Oryctolagus cuniculus: one gene and its partner. The protein of the gene in region 1 purifies or fractionates together with the protein of each later gene. This does not show direct contact. Links are inferred from orthologs where the notes say so. Each region holds a gene or a part of one and is shown on either strand. Other genes may lie near its edges.

Region 1 (3,899 bases):
CGGCGCAGCTCCGGCCAGTTGGGGAGTGAACCAACGAATGGAAGACCTCTCTCTATGCCTCTCTTCTCTGTGTGTAACTCTGACTTTCAAATAAATAGGTAAATCTTAAAAATAAATAAATAAATAAACACTGACTCTCGTCAGACTGTGGGTGGGGCTGAAGAAGGCGGGGAACACAGCCGACAGCCTGAGTGCCATGAACTGTCCCAGACAGAGCGCTGGGGCCACAGCTGTAAAGGCTGGGACTGCGCCTTTCTGAGTTAAAGAACAAGGCAGCGGTGGGCAGTCGAGAATCAGTCTTTCCCATCGCCGCATTGCTGACCCTCTCGGAGCTGGGAGTCTGGGGCCCCAACACGGGACGGGGGCGTCGGCCAGGGGCTCTCACACACACATGCCTCCTGGCCCTGCTCACCAAGTGACCCCCAGGAAAGCACTGGGACTGAGTAGCTCCTCCTGGAACCATCTCCACCAGCTCCCACGCCTCGCCCCCCACGCGGTAACCGTGGGCCGGGGCAGCCGCCCAGGTGAGTGCTCCCTGTCGCTGGAGGGTCTGATCTGGTCTCACGGTTCACCCCAAGATGTTTCTGGAATGCCAGTGGCTCTTCCCAGTGCTTTCTCCAGGCCTCGGCTTCCCCGTCTGTACAGGGAGCTGGCACCGTGCCCGCACCTCAGGAACCGGGGGCCTAATGCATTATTCATCGGCAGACACGGGCACACTGCGGTCAACGTCAGCCTGACGGGAGGGGCGTGAGAGTCTGGGGGCTGGGGCGGGGCCGGGTGGGTGAGGAGCAGGAGCAGCACCCCCAGCGAGGAGGGCAGTGGGGGGCTCAGGACCGAGACGAGGGGGGGTGTGGGTCCAGACCGCCACCCACCAAGACGTGGGCACAGCTCACGAGGGCGCAGGGGTGGGCTTCAAAAGGGTGCCCTTCTGCTACCAAGGGTCCTGACGTCCAGGCCCTCCAGCCCCTGGGTCAGACTCCCTGGCACCTGTGCCTCCCTGCGGTCTTCGGAACGCACTCACCAGTCCCCAACCTGGCTGACGGGCAGGGCTCTCCACGACCCCGCCCCGAGCCCAGCACCCTCCCTCCAGAGATCTGCACCCCATCTCTGGCTCTGAAGAAATGCAGTCTTCAGAAAGCTCACGGAAAATGCCTATCATGAAAATGGCCTGCATGAATTTAAAAAAAAATTTTTTTTGCACCAAAATGCATTTCTTTTTTAACCCCATTTTCCACGAACTTCCTGAAGTGTTCTTGCGTAAGCATGTATACAACGCGCACGTGCCGTGTTAACGCGCGCGCGCGCACACACACACACACACACACAGTCTGCATCTTTCCCAACAAAGTACAGGCGGAAGAAGGCTGAATGGGGTCTTTTTCGTAACCACGGTGCCCTTAAAAACAGGCCCCGGCTTCTGGAACGCCGGTGTCGCCACGATACCTTCGCTTTCGCGAGAGGCCCCTTCCACGCCCCGGCGCAGACACCCACGAGCAGACTCCAGCAGGTGCCAGCCCCCAGCCTGGGGGTCCCTCGGGGGCCCCCGGCACCGCTCTCTCGCCTGTCCATCTCGGGGCTCCGGGCGAGGCTTCCGCCCGCCTTCGGGAAGCCCCCGCCTCGCACGGAGCCGTCACCTCGACTGGGCTCGCGCCGCCGCCGTCCCCGCCCCCGCCCCCGCGCCGCGGGGTCCTCCTGGTCGCTGCCGCCCTCGGGCCGGGCTTCCCCGGGTCCGAGCCTCCCCCGCCCCGCCTGACCTGGGGCTGTCGGAGCCCTCCCGGCAGGCCCGGCCGTCGCCCGGAGCGGGCCGCCCAGCTCCTCCCGGCCAGAGGCCAGTGCCGGCCGCTGCTCCCCCGCCCGCAGGGCCCTCGCCTCCGCCCGCAGGGGCCGCTCACCCTCCATCATCTCCTGCGACTGTTGCTGCCCTGCGCCGCGCTCCGCCGCCATATTGGCTGCTCGTCCCCTTTCCGGAACTCGTCGCCTCAGGCCGCGCAGCCAATCAGGGCTCGCGGCTCCGAGCGGGTCCGGCCAATAGGATCCCGGCGCCCAGCCGCAGCGCCTCATGGGAGCTGTAGTTCCTTGCCTCCCGCCTCGCCTCCCAGGGCGGGTAATTTAAGGCAGCCAAGGCCGAGGAGTGTGGAGGTCAGAGGCTAGGAAAGAACGCGTTGGGGTTAGAGCAGGACTCACGAAGTCAGAGCTGGTCTGCGCGCCGGGGATAGGCGTGCCGCTGGGCGGCAGGTGCGGGCCAGTTCCACGAGCATGCTGGCCTTGGCTCCGGCTGTACAGCAGCTGCAGGCCAGTTCCACGGCTTCCCCTTGGCGTCCCTGCGCGGACCTGGCCTGTGCGAGAGGTCCAGCTCGCTCGCTGCGGGCTACGGAGGGCGTCGCGGCCTCGCCTGCCCCTCGGGCCTCAGGGCCTGTGAAGGAGCTGCCTGGGCACTCCCGCCCTCAAGACGAGGCCGCCCGTAGACGTGTCCGGGGCTGTGCCTCTTTCCCATCTCTTTTGGCGCCTGCGAGGCACCGTAGGGGGGTGTCCAATGCGTCCCTAGCAACCGTTAGCGCGGGCTTCTAGGCGCCGGCTCTCCTAGTCCCGCCTTCCCGCGCTAGCGATTGGCCTGTAGGGCCCGTCAATCTACGAGAGTAGCTCTGCGATTGGCAGGTAGGCTGGAAGTGCGGGTCGGTTCCCTTCCCGCGGGCTGAGGAGATCTTGGCGGTGTGACTGTGGCCGAACCTAGGTGAGGTCCCTGGGCCTGGGCAGGCGGGCGCCCCGCGGTCCCGGGGCGGTAGTTGTCGGTCCTGTGTCCCCCCGCACGGGGCCGAGGGGCACCGGCAGCCCTCTCGCTGGCCCGGCCCGCGCGCCGTCGCCGCTCTTTCTCCCGGTCGCGGCCTGGCGGCGGGGTTCTGGCCGTTTGCCCCTGGCCCCGCACGCTGGTAACGCCTCCGGGCACACTGTGGTCACTCGGTCTTCCTTGCGCTGGTTGGCTCCGCAGATGGCCGTGACGGCCGGGCCCGGGTCCCTCGCGTGGGTGCGGGGCGCAGGCTGTCTGGCGGTCTTCCCGGGCCGAGTGGGGCTGTCACGGGCGCCCCGGCCCCAGCCCAGGCAGCTTGGGATGCCAGCCTGGCCAGCTCGGCGTGCAGCGTTCTCTGCTGGGTCCGCTTCCCTTTAGACCTCATCCTTTCTCGCCCAGGTAGCTGTGACCTCTCCCCATGCCCGGCTTCGTCCCACGTTGCTGGGCCTGGTCACCTTGGTCCTAGGCGTGTGGCCCCCTGGGCGCCTGTCCACGTCGGTCGCTGGACCTCTGTCCGTGGCCTCAGGGCTCAGCTCTCCCGATGCCGCCCTGGGAGCCCAGGCCTGGCTGGCGCCTGCGGGCGGTGGGAGAAGCCGGGCTCTGCCCGCGGGCCCGCCGTGGCTGTGGAGTGCAGGGCTCGCAGATGGCTCTGAGGCCTGGGCCCGGCCTCCCCAGGTAGCAGCAGCGTTCGCCTCCCTGCCCCCGCCTCCCGGTTCTTTCCTTTTGCCGGCAATGTGTCTGGACAGCGCTAGGGCTTTTCTTCGGGGAGGGGGTGGTATTTATTTGTTTGGAGGCGTTCCACACGGAGAGGAGAGACACAGAGGTCTGTCTTCCATCAGCTGACTTATTCCCCAGCCGGCCGGCGGAAGCCAGGAGCCAGGAGCTTCCTCCAGGTCTCCCACGGGGGTGCAGGGGCCCAGGCAGCTGGGCCGTCCCCGCTGCTTCCCCAGGCCACAGCAGGGAGCTGCACTGGTGGTGGAGCAGCCGGGACCCAGGATGCCGGCCCGGCAGGCAGCGGCTCTCAGCCCTGTGTTTACCTTCCGGCTTGCCTTGTAAGGGAAGTGGCCCACCGCTCAGCTTTCTGGAGCTTGGTTTGCTTTTTCTGCTCGGTAGG
Region 2 (3,899 bases), on another chromosome or scaffold:
CTCTCTCCCCCCTCCCCCTGACACACCCCACCCTGTCCTCTTGATGGCAGAGCTACCGGGCACCCTGCATGCACTGACTCACTTCATCTGCCGGGAACCCATCACCAACCCCTTCTCAGGGAGGAAGCTGGGCCCAGGTCACCGGCTGGGAGGTGCAGAGCCGGGCCATCTGGCAGGAAAGTCTGCCCCCCGCTAGACTGCCCAACACAGGGGCCTGGTTTCTGAATTCATCTCGGCGAACCGTCAGGACACCATCCGGGCCTGCGGCAAGGGAAACGATGACCTAAAGGGGCCTAAGACGGGTGTCGCTCAGGGGCCGAAGCCCCACCCCTGTGGACAGCAGATGAGCTTTAGGGGAGAAGGGATCAGGTTTGAAAACACCCCATGGGGTCAAGCCTCCGCCTGCAGTGCGGGCATCCCATATGGGAGCCGGTTTGCATCCCGGCCGCTCCACTTCCGATCCAGCTCTCTGTGGTGGCCTGGGAAAGCAGTAGAAGATGGCCCACGTTCTTGGGCCCCTGCACCCATGTGGGAGACCTGGAAGAAGCTCCTGGCTCCTGGCTTCAGATGGGCACAACTCTGGCCACTGAGGCCATTTGGGGAATGAACCAGCAGATGGAAGACCTCTCTCTCTAATGTCTCTCTGAAACTCTGCCTCTCAAATAAATAAACAATCTTAAAAGAAAGAAAGAAAACCCGCACCCAGGAGAGGCAGCATGGACAGCGCTGTCAGCCATGCGCTCCTTGTCTGTGCTGGAGGATTTCCACCTGCCTGCACTGTCTGCCCTGCTCGCTCCCCAGCCGCTGGTTTTCCACACGCGCTGGGAGCCACAGGGCAGCCGGTGCAGCCCCTCTCTCGTGTGCAGAACTCAGGGCACGTCTGCGATGGCATCAAGCTCTTTCCATGTTTATGTGGCCTGGCTTTGCCTCCGGCCACCCACGTGGGTTTCCAGCAGGACCGTCAACCAGCCCACCCTCAGGGAAGGCGCCGACTTCCAGCTGAGGGTGAGCTGTTCATTCACACCAGCGTGAAGCAGCTTCACCCCACCAGGCTTGGGATGCCCACGGTGTGCTCACAGAAACCCACAGGGACCCCTGCCTGGCCTCCCAACCCTCCTTCTCCCGAGCTGGAGGACGTGGGGCTTCCTGGGACTCAGTTTCCCCAACCATGCAGTGTGCATGAATCTGCACCATGTAGCATGACCGAGCGTAAGGCTACAAAGCCAGGGAGAACCAGGGTACAGGAAACTGAATGGAGAAATCCACTCAGCAGGGGTTTTTCCCCGGGCACAAACGTTGCCAGCACTGATCCACACCCGAATGGCTCTCCTGGTCTGATAACACCAAGTGCAGGAAACTTCCGGCTGCTCAGGACCCAATAAAACGGAACTTCCCTCTTGAAAGGCAGGGGTGACCAGCCAGGAGCCCACCCCCTCGCTGCTGATTCCCGAAACCAGTTTCTTCAGGGCTTCTGGGCGGATCTGACCCGACTCTCACACTTTTCTCCCCAGTCACTGTTGTAGAACACAACCCTGCTTTTAACGACTCAGACCTAAACAAACCCAAAGACCTGGAAGACCGCTGAAATCCGCGTGGGCACGACATTGAGGTGGGCACGATTTACCTCTCACGTTAAAAATGCGGATGACTGTTTCCAAACAGCTCGCCCTGTTTTTTTTAGATCTTATTCAAGTTATCTCACCCCACCACCACCACCTGCAAAAGGGCTGTTTTTAAGGCTCACCGGGATTGCCAGGGCCGCCAGCACATTTTGGTAAAGTGTGTGAAGAGCCACCATTCTCGGGAATTTGAAATGATCGCATCCACGAATTTGCCCAGAAACACCCACTTGCGCGCCAGGTGGCTGCCCGCCTAATGTCTTTCCACGTATTTACTCTTTAAATTCACCTCACAAGTGCAAAGTAAGTGTGCCCAAGTCACTCCCATTCAACAAGCAGCCAAAAGCCACTTGGGGGAGGGGGTAAGGGCAAAGAGGGTGCAGCGCCCACGGCTTCTCTGAGACCCCCGGGAAGGCAGCGGCGACCCACACAGAAAACCTGCAAGGCGCCCCCTCGAGGGAGCACGGGGACAGCAGCTGGGGGTGCTGGGCGCCGCGACCCCACGTGAGGGCGTCCCGGGAAAGTTAGGGGCGCAGAGGGTCCCCATGGCCCTGCCCCTGAGGGTGACCCCGCCGGAAGCCCCGGACTCCCCTGTGCGCCCTCGGGCCCTCCCTCTCAGGGCGCCCCGGGACGCCGCGCACCCGGCCGCCGGCTCCGTCAGACACCGGACACCGGACACCCTACACCGCACGACCCCAGCCCCACGCGCCGGCCACCCCCGCCCTCAGCACCCACCTGTGCGCGGCCCTGGGCTCGCCGGCGCGCACGCCACGTCCAGCAGGGCGGCCCCGGGAGCTGTGGTGGAGGCGCGGGCTGGCGCGCGCGAGACGCCGAGGCCCGGGCGGAGCCCAGCTCCCGCCCCGCCGCCGCCGCCGCCGCGCCCACAGGCCGCTGAGTGACGGCCGGGCCGGGCGGTGCGCGAGGGCTCGGCCGCGGGCCTTCCCGCGCACGCACGCCGCGGCGCGGGGCCTGCAGGGGGCGGCCCTGCTCAGCCCCCACGGCCGGGTCCCGCGCGCCCCGCGACTCGCCGCTCTGCCTTGTCTCTTCTCGGGCACTTGTGCGGACAGGTGTGGCTCGGCGGGACGGGAAAGGAATGGTGGAGGCGACAGGGGCAGCAAAGGAAAGAAGCCAGGAGGAAGCTAGCACGGGTGGGGTGGCCGTGGTCTACAGAGTTGTGTGCGGGGAGAGCGGCGGCCTCCCCCGGAGAGGTGTGGGCAAAGGTGGCCGTGAGCCCCGGGTGTGCTCCACGCAGCCTGCCTGGCCCGCTCAGGAAGGCCAGGGAAGCAAGGTCCCCTTGCTACCCCACCCCATGCCCAGCTGCAGAAGGTGCTCACAGTTAGTGGGAGCTTGGAGCCGCAGGTTAGAGAACCAGGCATTGGCAGGAAACAACACCTGGGGATGCAGTGGTCATTCTAGCAGATAGAATTTCTGCTTTAAGGTGCTGACTGTGCAAACACATTGGCTCACATTCGTTCACACCACACACTGTAAACTCCAGCTTCTAACCGCGTCACACCTAAGCTATGGGTTTTGCCTCCTGTGTCACCTGGCCTCCAAGTCCCAATGATCCCCATCTCCTGCGACCCACAGTCTTGTGTAGCTTCCTTCCCATGAGGTCCCAGAGTTGCTCCTGGTGACCCACAGAAATGCAAAAGTAAGGATGCATTACTTCCAGGATTATACTAAAAAAACACCTGTGGCTTTTTAAATACTTGTTTATTTGAAAGGCATAGGGGGAGGGAGCGAGAGGGAATGTGGTGGGGAAGGAGAGATCTTCCATTTGCTGGTTTACTTACTCCCCAGTGGCTGGAGTTGGGTCAGGCTGAAGCCAGGAGCCTATACCTCCATCTGAGTCTCCCAAATGGAGCCACCCAAGTACTTGAGGGCCATCTTCTGCTGCTTTCCCAGGCGCATTAACAGGCAGCTGGATCAGAAGCGGAGCTCTGATACGGGATGCTGGCATCTCAGGCGGTGACTGCCACTGAGCCACAACACTGGCCCCACCTATAGCTTCTGTCTTTTTTTTTTTTTTTTTTTTTTTTTTTTTTTTTTTTTTTGACAGGCAGAGTGGACAGTGAGAGAGGGAGAGACAAAGAAAAAGGTCTTCCTCTTCCGTTGGTTCACCCCCAATGGCCACTGCAGCCAGCATGCTGCGGCCAGCACACTGCGCTGATCCGAAGCCAGAAGCCAGGTGCTTCCTCCTGGTCTCCCATGGGGTGCAGGGCCCAAGCACCTGGGCCACCCTCCACTGCACTCCCGAGCCACAGCAGAGAGCTGGCC

The links.
Region 2: the proteins of PPP1R7 (region 1) and SH2D4A purify together in Homo sapiens (affinity purification with mass spectrometry; 3 studies listed by BioGRID and IntAct, counting the BioPlex papers as one, with this or other methods). This does not show direct contact. The link is inferred for Oryctolagus cuniculus from reciprocal best matches to the Homo sapiens genes PPP1R7 and SH2D4A.

Annotation. Positions count from the first base shown.
Region 1 is NC_091434.1:527,600-531,498, forward strand, and holds the start of PPP1R7 (protein phosphatase 1 regulatory subunit 7), read right to left. Parts: upstream 2,482-3,899; 5' UTR 2,062-2,481; coding exon 1,893-2,061; intron 1,508-1,892; exon of another isoform or gene 1,468-1,507; intron 1-1,467. UniProt on the Homo sapiens protein: Regulatory subunit of protein phosphatase 1.
Region 2 is NC_091439.1:3,498,101-3,501,999, forward strand, and holds the start of SH2D4A (SH2 domain-containing protein 4A), read right to left. Parts: upstream 2,512-3,899; 5' UTR 2,355-2,511; intron 1-2,354. UniProt on the Homo sapiens protein: Inhibits estrogen-induced cell proliferation by competing with PLCG for binding to ESR1, blocking the effect of estrogen on PLCG and repressing estrogen-induced proliferation. May play a role in T-cell development and function.